Callithrix jacchus: one gene and its partner. The protein of the gene in region 1 interacts with the protein of each later gene in a biochemical or structural test. Links are inferred from orthologs where the notes say so. Each region holds a gene or a part of one and is shown in the gene's direction. Other genes may lie near its edges. The genes, in order: PKD1 and HDAC9.

What was found.
Region 2: the proteins of PKD1 (region 1) and HDAC9 form a complex in vitro, tested with the Homo sapiens proteins (2 studies listed by BioGRID, with this or other methods). The link is inferred for Callithrix jacchus from reciprocal best matches to the Homo sapiens genes PKD1 and HDAC9.

The regions. Positions count from the first base shown.
Region 1 is NC_133513.1:4,605,081-4,609,583, forward strand, and holds the start of PKD1 (polycystin-1), read left to right. Parts: upstream 1-1,703; 5' UTR 1,704-1,916; intron 1,917-1,953; exon of another isoform or gene 1,954-2,036; intron 2,037-2,126; 5' UTR 2,127-2,189; intron 2,190-2,559; exon of another isoform or gene 2,560-2,653; intron 2,654-2,666; exon of another isoform or gene 2,667-3,353; coding exon of another isoform or gene 3,354-3,456; intron 3,457-3,554; coding exon of another isoform or gene 3,555-3,631; intron 3,632-3,731; coding exon of another isoform or gene 3,732-3,788; intron 3,789-3,886; coding exon of another isoform or gene 3,887-3,952; intron 3,953-4,503. Other genes in the region: RAB26 (ras-related protein Rab-26), read right to left, coding at 3,354-3,456, 3,555-3,631, 3,732-3,788, 3,887-3,952. UniProt on the Homo sapiens protein: Component of a heteromeric calcium-permeable ion channel formed by PKD1 and PKD2 that is activated by interaction between PKD1 and a Wnt family member, such as WNT3A and WNT9B. Both PKD1 and PKD2 are required for channel activity.
Region 2 is NC_133512.1:40,375,131-40,379,644, reverse strand, and holds the start of HDAC9 (histone deacetylase 9), read left to right. Parts: upstream 1-1,551; 5' UTR 1,552-1,592; coding exon 1,593-1,889; intron 1,890-2,153; exon of another isoform or gene 2,154-2,417; intron 2,418-3,067; exon of another isoform or gene 3,068-3,230; intron 3,231-4,454; exon of another isoform or gene 4,455-4,514. UniProt on the Homo sapiens protein: Responsible for the deacetylation of lysine residues on the N-terminal part of the core histones (H2A, H2B, H3 and H4).

The DNA.
Region 1 (4,503 bases):
GCACAGGGAAGGGGTCTAGGAAGGGAGAGGCCCCAAGAGAAGGAATGAGGAAGAGGGAGTCTCCTCCCTTGGCGAGGGCAGTGAGAAAGGTGGGCAGACAGGCTGGGGCACCGTGAAATTCCTCAGCAAGTGAGAGGCCCCCCACTCCGAGAGCTGGGTGGGATCCAGCAGGCCCCTGCTGACTCCAGACTCAACCCGAGATGACCACTCTGGCCTGGCTCAAGGCAAGGATGCCTTGACAGCTGGACCTCAGCGGGGACTAGGAAAGGATGCCCTAGCCTCCCTCTCTCCTGCTTCCCCAGTAAACTCCAAAGTCTGGTCCACACACAGAAGGCTGTTTACCAGACCTAGATCCGAAGTGCCTCTCCAGCGCTTCTTCCTCCACGACACTTGCCAGGCACCCTATAGAACCTGGTCTGGCCCCGTCGACTTCACCTCTCCACTTGCCGGTGCTTGCTGGGACACGCCAGGCCCCTTCTCACCCTAGGCCTTTGTACATCTGGCTCCTTCTGCCTGGAATGCTCATCTTGCAACATCCCGGGACTGGCTGCTTCTCCATCAGGCTTTGGCTAACGGCAGCGCCGCCCCGACCCCTGGCCAGTACTCACTTTTTCTTTTACAGCATATACCGCCGCTCCCCATGATTCTATCTGTTGTCAATCCCTCCACCCTGTCTGTCTAGACCAGGGACAGGGGGTGTTGGCCCGCAGGAGACATTTGCCAATGCCTGGAGACTTTTGTTATCGCAACTGAGGAAGTGGGGGTGTTTACTGGTATCTAGCGGGCAGGGGCTAGGCAGGCTGCTCCACATCCTACAATGTTCAGGGCAGCCCCTCGCAGCAAAGAGAGACCCGGGCCGCGTGGTCGATGGTGCGGAGGTTGGGGACCCCTGCAGCAGACACCGAGCTCAGGAGAACTGGGACGATGTTCTCCGCAGTCTTCCAGCGCCCAGAACAGTGTATGGCACGCGGGCGGCTCGGGGAATGCAGGAAGAAGGAATGAGTAAAGAACGCGCGAGGACAGGACGGAGCGAGCGACGGACAAATGACAGGCGGACGGACAGCGACCCGGACCCGGACCCCGAACGTCTCAGCCCCGCCCCGCCCCCCCGGCCCGACCCACGACCTCGCCTCTCCTAGACTTCGACGCGCCAGATTCCGCCCCACCGCGCGGCCCCGGGCCGGGCGCGTCGCGGGGACACTCACCCGCCCGCGGCCACCTGGGAGCCGTAGCGCCGCCGGCCCGCTTCATGATGCCCCCTCGGCCGCCGGCCGGGAAAGGGACAAGCGAGCCGGAAGCGCCCGGCCGCTTCGCCCGCCGGGACTTGTAGTTCCCCGCCTCTCGGGGCTCGGGCAGCTGCCTCACGCGCGGCATTTCCGAAACTACGACTTCCGGCGGCCCCGTCGTCGCAGGGCGGGATTGGCGGCTTCAGAATCACTCTATGTTGCAGATCGAAGTCTCATTGGCTCTACTTATCCGTCACTCACGGTTAGGCTTCACGGATTCTGCATAAGGGAGGTGCTTCAGGTCTGGGTCCAAGAGACCGCCTCCAAAAGAAATGCCAAGGTACGATTGGTGAAAATAACACGGTTAGGACGTGGAGCGTATCAGCGGCAATAAAAGGCGGGCACTTCCGCCGGGAATTGCCCAATGACAGAGGTAGGACAGTTTCTATAAAAGCTTCAGCCTGCGGTGCGTCCGTTCTTTTGGGGTAGACCGCGAGGCGTTGTGTTAATGTTAGATTGTGCCATGTGCTACTAACCGGGGAAGAACTGGGCTACGAACGTATCTTTGCGGGAGGGCCGAACGCTGCAGGCCGGCCCGGTCCCCGGGCATCCAGCCCTGGCCTACGCTCCACTTTGTCCCTGAGCGTTTAAACCTTACTTCCTGAATCTCAGACCTACAGCTCCTTGCAGGTAAGACTGGGCTAGGCTTGGGTTCCCCTGTTCTCCGAGCCTGTGATGAACTGCTTTGATTTCTGACACCTCGTATGAAAACTGCATGTGCAGCCTGATTATTTTGCAAGACTGAGGCTTGGGAGTGCGCAATCCTGTTGGGGAGGGGCTGGGAGTGGAAACGGGAAAGTGGGGACTCATGTCTACATTTTGGCGCTGTCTTACTTTCAGGTTTCATCGTGAGCCGGCTGCAAATTTTGAACCTAAGTAAACCTCAGTCTGGAGGGCCTAGTGGTAAGGTGGGCGCTGTGTCTATTCGAGGTGCTTAGCAATAAAACAAAGGCAGTGAGTTGATTCGGTTCTCTCCAACGTCTTTCATTCCCTATTGCACCCCGGGGGTCTGGCTCATCCACAGGCAATCTTGGGAAAGTGTAGAGACGTGAAAACGGGAGTCATGTTACCAGTGACTTCACAACTCTTGGGATTGACTTCTCCGTTTCTGCCTGTTATTATTTTTTTTGAGAGGAGTTCCGCTCTTGTTGCCCAGGCTGGAGTGCGGTGGTGCGACCTCCGCCTCCCAGGTTCAGGTGATTTCTCCTGCCTCAGCCTCCCAAGTAATTGGGATTACAGACATCACAACCGGTTAATTTTGTGTTTTTCATAGAGACTGGGTTTCTCCGTGTTAGGCTGGTCTCAATTTCCCGACCTCAGGTGATCCACCCACCTCAGCCTCCCAAAGTGCTGGGATTGCAGAACAGGTGAGACAGACACTCCAGAAAACACAACTTTATTCACTAGGACTGAAAACAAAGGCTTGCAGTTAAAAGGCCAACTTTAGTGTAAGGTGGAGCTTGCTTGGAAATCACAGACCTCAGCTGTGGCCAGGCCGTGCTAGCAGTTACCCTTTTCTGGCGTTTATGTGATTTCCCACATTTTATCACAAGGCATCCTCCGAGGTCACTGAGGAAGACCCGGCTGCTCTTTGAGCCAGAGCCTCCTAGAGTGTGGGCTGGGAGCAGTTCCCAGGACATACAGATGTGATTAGCAGTGAAGCCCTCTGTCCCAGGCGTGGGCATGCCACGTCCTCCCTTACCAGCCTGAGCAGCGTTCGGGTGAGCACATGGCTTTTTTTCTAGGGGGTTAGGCACTGTGCCTCACCCGGGCATGCCCAGGAGGGGGCAGCAGAGCACCATGGCAAGGTCTATCCACTTGGCGCACACCCTCTGTTACAGAAGACCGCTTTTCCATGGTGGCTAGTGCCCGGGCCATGGGCTCTCAGAAGCCCACTTGTTGGGACTGCTTGCTGCTGGGAGGAGGAAGGGGCAAGGCTTGACCTGGGGCTCCTGGAAACACACTCTGGCATTGGCCACAGGGCAACAAAGTCAGAAGGGCCTGGAGACCCTCTGCAGCTTTCTGGAGGCTGGGCGGCTTCCTCCAGAGGACTGAGCTCAGCCAGGTTCAGGGGTGGCAGCAGGAAGCCCTGCGACCTTTCCTGTTAACATAATCGTGCAGCCGGAAGCGTGGCTCGCTGGGAGCCTTCATGGAGCGCTGCTTCAACTCCCTGCAGAACGGGGGTGACAAGAGGACACGATGGCCTGAACTCCAATAAGAGGGTTCAGGCCCTGGGCTGGGGGAGTCCTGGTAACTACCGGGACTTACTTTGCTATGGCTGTGAAGGCCAGGTCCACGTTGAGGCCCGTCTTGGCGCTGGTCTCCATGAAGGGCAGCCCATACTCCTGTAAACAGCTGTTGCCAGCCAGGTGGTGGCCTGGCGGGGACAGCCTAGGCTCCGCAGCCTCCAGGAGCACCCTCTTACCACCCCCAGCCCTGACTCACCTTGGCCAGCTTCTCCCCGTCCTCCCTCTTCACCACACGCTCATGGGCAGAGTCGACCTGGCCCAGGCACAGGGTCTTTGTAACAGCTGGCCCATGGTTGGCCCCTGCCCCCTCACCTGCCCTGCGGCCCAGTCGAGGATGGCCCGGCCTCCCACCTTGTTGCCCAGCAGCATGAGTGCCACGTCGTGCTGGGCGTACTCGTGGATCTCGGTCAGCCAGGCCTGTGGGGGGCAGCAGACCGGGCTGGGGCTCCCTGCATGGCTCGCCTCCTGCCCCAGAACCCTGGCCCTCCAGACTATACTGTAGAGGGCACCTGTCTTCATTTTATCTTTTTTTTTGAAACAGTTTTTGTCGTCGAGGCTGGAGTGCCCTGGCGCAATCTCGGCTCACCGTAACCTCTGCCTCCCAGGAACAAGGGATTCTCCTGCGTCAGCCTCCTGAGTGGCTGGGATTACAGGTGCACAGCACCACACTCAGCTGATTTTTGTATTTTTAATAGACATGGGGTTGGCCAGGCTGGTCTCGAACTCCTGACCTCAGGTGAGCCACCATACCTGTCCAGAATACCTGTCTTTAGAAGTGATAACCCCTATATACTACATAGGGGCGCCCATCTTACAGGTCCCTTACACACAGCCCCACTGAGGGAGCTGGAAAGGCACTCAGATCCACTTGAGCCACTTCCAGCCCAGAAGACTTGTCATTCCCCCTCTGAGCCTCTCAGCAGGGTCCTTTGGATCCCTGATACCATCCACACCAGAAGGAGGTGAAG
Region 2 (4,514 bases), on another chromosome or scaffold:
CCTTAGAGTCAATAGTAGGCAAACAGAATCATTAAAACAAAACAATAAAAGCCTAGGCAACATAGTGAAACCTCATCTCTAAAAAAATTAGTCCCAGCTACTACTTGGGAGGCTAGAGGATCACTTGAGCCCAGGTCAAGGCTGGAGTGAGACCTGATGGTGCAGCTGCATTCCAGCCCGGATGACAGAGCATGACCCTGTCAAAAACAAAACAAACAAAAAACCCACAAAAACCAAAAACAAAACAAAACTGCAAAAACTTAAAGGTGTACACTTGACCATTTCTTAACTCAATTTTGAAAGGTAAAGGGTGAAAGCTTACTAGGTAGTTGTATCTGGCATATACACAAATCAGAAATATCTCTAAGATACTTAAGGCAATACCATCAATTTCATCCATGAAATCAGAATCCATTACTAAGATTCATCATGCTAATGAACAGAAACCTCAGATGGGACAGTTAAGTAGAAGCTCTAGCACCAACAGTCTTTGGAGTATGGCCTTTTTATTATTTATTGTTTTTTTTTTTTTTAAATTTTTATTTAAAGCTAGCTGACCACTCCTGCAGTATGAATTCTTAATCAGAGCAAAGTGAGAGATAAATCTAGCCATCACACACTTTTGTCTTCCTGAGAATGCAGACAAGATAGCACTCCTTTTCTCGAGTTACCTTGCTATTATGAAATTGGTGGTCTAATTCCTGAGGTTTCTGTTTGTTTGTTTGTTTGAAATGGGGGTTTCACTTTGCTGCCCAGGATGGTCTCGAACTCCTGGGCTCAAGCAATCGTCCAGCCTTGGCTTCCCAAAGTACTGGGGTTATAGGCTTGAACTACTGAGCCTAGCCCCTAATTCTAATTTTAATCCGAACTCTGCCACTGTGAGACCTTGGGCAAATCACACTACTCCCATGGATCCCAGTTCTCTCCTCTGAAAATGAGGGCACTGGGTTAGTTCTCTCTTGCTCTTTCCATCCATATAATTAATCTATGAGCTGTTTTAGCTGACGTAGAGAAAAACCATAAATATAAAAGCAGAGACAGTAGCTTTAATTCGTTTGACGGTCAAATTACAGACACCATAAATATTAGCCTCTTCGAGTGATCAAGCGCGTTAGCCAAGTATGTTTAGGATTACACTTAAAAATATTTTGGTGTTGTATGCTTTATAAAGGAATCTGCAGCTACTAGTGATACTAGTCAGGATTTAAGTTACAACAGAAAAAAAAAATCCCCAAGGGAAAAATACCAACCACAGAACGTGATCAAAATTCTCAGACCTACTAACTCTGCTTGCCTTCTATCCGGGTTGGTTTCAGAGCGAATGCTCCTCTCTGTTTAGCCTTAAAACGCGGCAAACCTAAGTCATGTTTCCATCAGCAGTCACCATATTCCCACACGTTTCCCAGTTGAAAAGCCCCAAATGTAGCATTTTTTCTCTTAAAATTCCCTTGAATGATTCTTTAAGCTCCAGGCATCTGTGAGGACGTTCCAGGTGCCGCCCCGCAACGCTCCCTAATCCTCTTAAAAAGAAGTCGCTCAGCTGGGGCGGGCAGGCGCTGCATGGCGCGCACCTGAGCGGCCGGGACTTCCTGATGAAAGAGGGGCGCGGGAGGGCGAGGCGGCGGCCTGGCTTCTCCTCAGCACCGTCTTCTGTCACGGCTGCCGCCTGGCCATCACCCCGCGCCTTGTGTGGGCATGTCTCGCTTCAGAAAGAAGTCGTCTTAGGCTCCCTGGGCCTTCCCCTGGATAAAAAAACCGCTGTCGCAGCCCCGAGCTCACCTCCGCTCCACTCTGGGCCGCCCTTGCTGCCCTCCTGCCTCCCGTGCGTCGGCTGCGCGCCCAGGTGTTCCCGCGCCCCTCATCCCCTCAGGCCCGCGCCTCCCCGCCCTGTGAGTATCTAGCGCCTGCGGCCGCGCTCTCGCAGCGGATCCTTCTTCCTTTCCCCACCCAGACCCGCCCAGCCTCCGCCGCGCTGGGGCTCCCGGCCGAGCCTCTCCTCCCACCTCCGTCCTCCACTTCCCTCCCTAAGAAGTGCTATTTTTAGCAAATCCTCCGCGCGCCGCCACCCGCTCAGCTCGCAGCTCCCAGCCGCCCGCTGCCGCCCTCCCGAGCTCCCCCCGCGTGGCGGCGGCGGCGGCGGCGGCGCGTCCCGCACACAGCGCAGCGCGCACTGAGCCGGCCCAGCCGCGCCCGCCGCTCTCGCCGCGGTCTCCTCCTCTAGAGCCCGCTGCGGCCGCTAAATCTCGGCTGGAGGAGCAGCGGTGGTCCCCGAGTCAACTTTCATCCCCCTTTTGGTTCCTGCCTCGCCATTCTCTTCTGCTCCTCGAAAGATGGCTGTTTGGAGAAGGGGGAGAAGTTAGGAGGTCGCCGGCGGGGAGCGAAGGAGGGCGCGACTGCCTCAGCAGGAACGGGCGGAGGTGAGTGGCACCACGGCAGAGTCCCCGGCTAGTGCTTGAGGAAAGCTCTGGGATTGGGGGCCACCGGTCCTCAGGATGCGCCGCGGTATTCCCTGCTCAGGTTCCCCAGGTTAACAGCATCTCAGTCCGGACTCGGATGCCACTTGCCTTGTATCTCTCAGCCCAGAGACCGGTGCGTTTAAGGGAACCTTTGTCAGAAGTTGGGTGCTAGGTGATCTCTGTGGTGCAGACCTCGACATTTGTCTAGGCAAACTGAGGCGAGGGGTCGGTGGCGTGATTCTCTCCCGCCCTCAAACACACCCAGTTTATGTTGGAGCCGAGCTATGAATGAAAAGTTTGTACTGGCAACGTGTTGCTTGAGGGGAGCAACGCTTATTGGGGGTACCTTTGATGTTTCGTGGGGGACTTCAGTTTTAAGTCAATACATCAGAATACTGGGTTTTAAGAAAAGTTCAGGAGTCTGGGGGATGGGAGATAAAGCAGTTCCTTGGCTAGTGGAAGCAGAGTGATGAATCGTAAGCTTATTAAGGTAAACTGGTAAATTAGATGCCATACGAGGGTGTCATAGTGGGGACTAGAGAGATCGGAGGACGGGGGCGTTCCCTGAGCGCCTAGCAGGCTGCATTTGTTTGGCTTTGAAGCCGTCACCCACTTGTCCGCAGTGAGAGGTGCTGGTGTCAGGCCTGTGTGTCTGTGATGTGACAGAGAGGGACTGAGCTCTCTCCATATCCGAGGCACAGTTGTCAGGAAAGGTGGCCTGCGACGGAGAGCTGAGGATGCAGTTCCTGTGATTTGGACTAGGAGAATTCTCTAGTGAGTCTCCTATGCTCTAATTTCAGGAAGATCTACCAATTGTTTTTTCTTCCAGGGAGGTGTGTGTAATCTGCTAAAAGGAACTTTCAGCTTTAAGATTAACTATGGCATTTTGAAATCCTGTAAGAAATGAGATAGCTACATATATTCATTATTACCTATACGTGGTGTGTGTGTGTGTGTGTGTGTGTGTGTAAAATATGGGAAAGGAGTAAGAAAGGCTTAAAAAGTAACTTCTACAAGAAAAGAAAGCAAAGAGTTAATTTTTTTCTCCGCAAATGGTATAACAATGCATATACAACTAAATACTCTTGCTGTGCTGAGATTTCGCATAAGGAGTAAGATTTAGGAATTACAAGCATTCAGGGCACTGTCATGTTTTCAAATCTCGCAGGCATTATTGAAATCTGGAAAAAGGGAGTACGTACATACAGAACCCATATTAAATGAAAAAAAATTTTAAATCTTCCAAAAGAAAACCTTTTGACATTTGAAAAGGCCTGGATGTTTTTTTCTGATGGCCCAGAAATCTTTGTAATCCTGTAATTAACAAAGCACAGAGTAATTTGCATTTAATAAATTAGAAATCATATTTACAGGATATCTTTTGAACTTCTCTTTGGTACTTTTGATATTTATTATGAAAATTATTGTGACTGAAAATTTGTTGTTTAATCTATTTGCCTTTTACCACAGATAATTAGTCCTCCTTATCCTTTTAAACCACTGTTCCAGTTTGGACAAATTTAATTCTCCAAGCATCAAATTACTACTGTTCCTTCTGGAAACCATTTATATTTCGAATGGCTAATAAGAATATTTTATTTCTGAAACAACATAATTTAGTCAGTTGTAAAACTTGCTTGTAATTCTCATCCATTTTGTTTGAATGGGGCACATTTGAAGAAGAGCAGCATTTTCTTCGAATATGCCATTTTCTGTGTGGGAAAAAGCTAGTGTTTTCATATATATTTTAGCTATTAAACAGATGCATGTAAGGTGGGAATCCTGTCTGACCTTTGATAAACCGCCAGCCAGAGGGAGAGAGATGCTTTCCTAGCTCTGCTCATGAATTGATAATCTTTACTACAGAAGGGACATGGTTAGATGCACATAAGATTGTGCAGAAGGAAGTTAAGAGTTTTAAATTAAATACCAGTCAATGGGTAGGAAACAGATTTTTTATTTTTTAATCTCGACGTTACTGTTTCTTTTCTTCTGCAGTTCAGCCTGTTGGGCTGGCCTTTATTGGAGAGTCATACCAGCACTCTGACAAGAGAATGT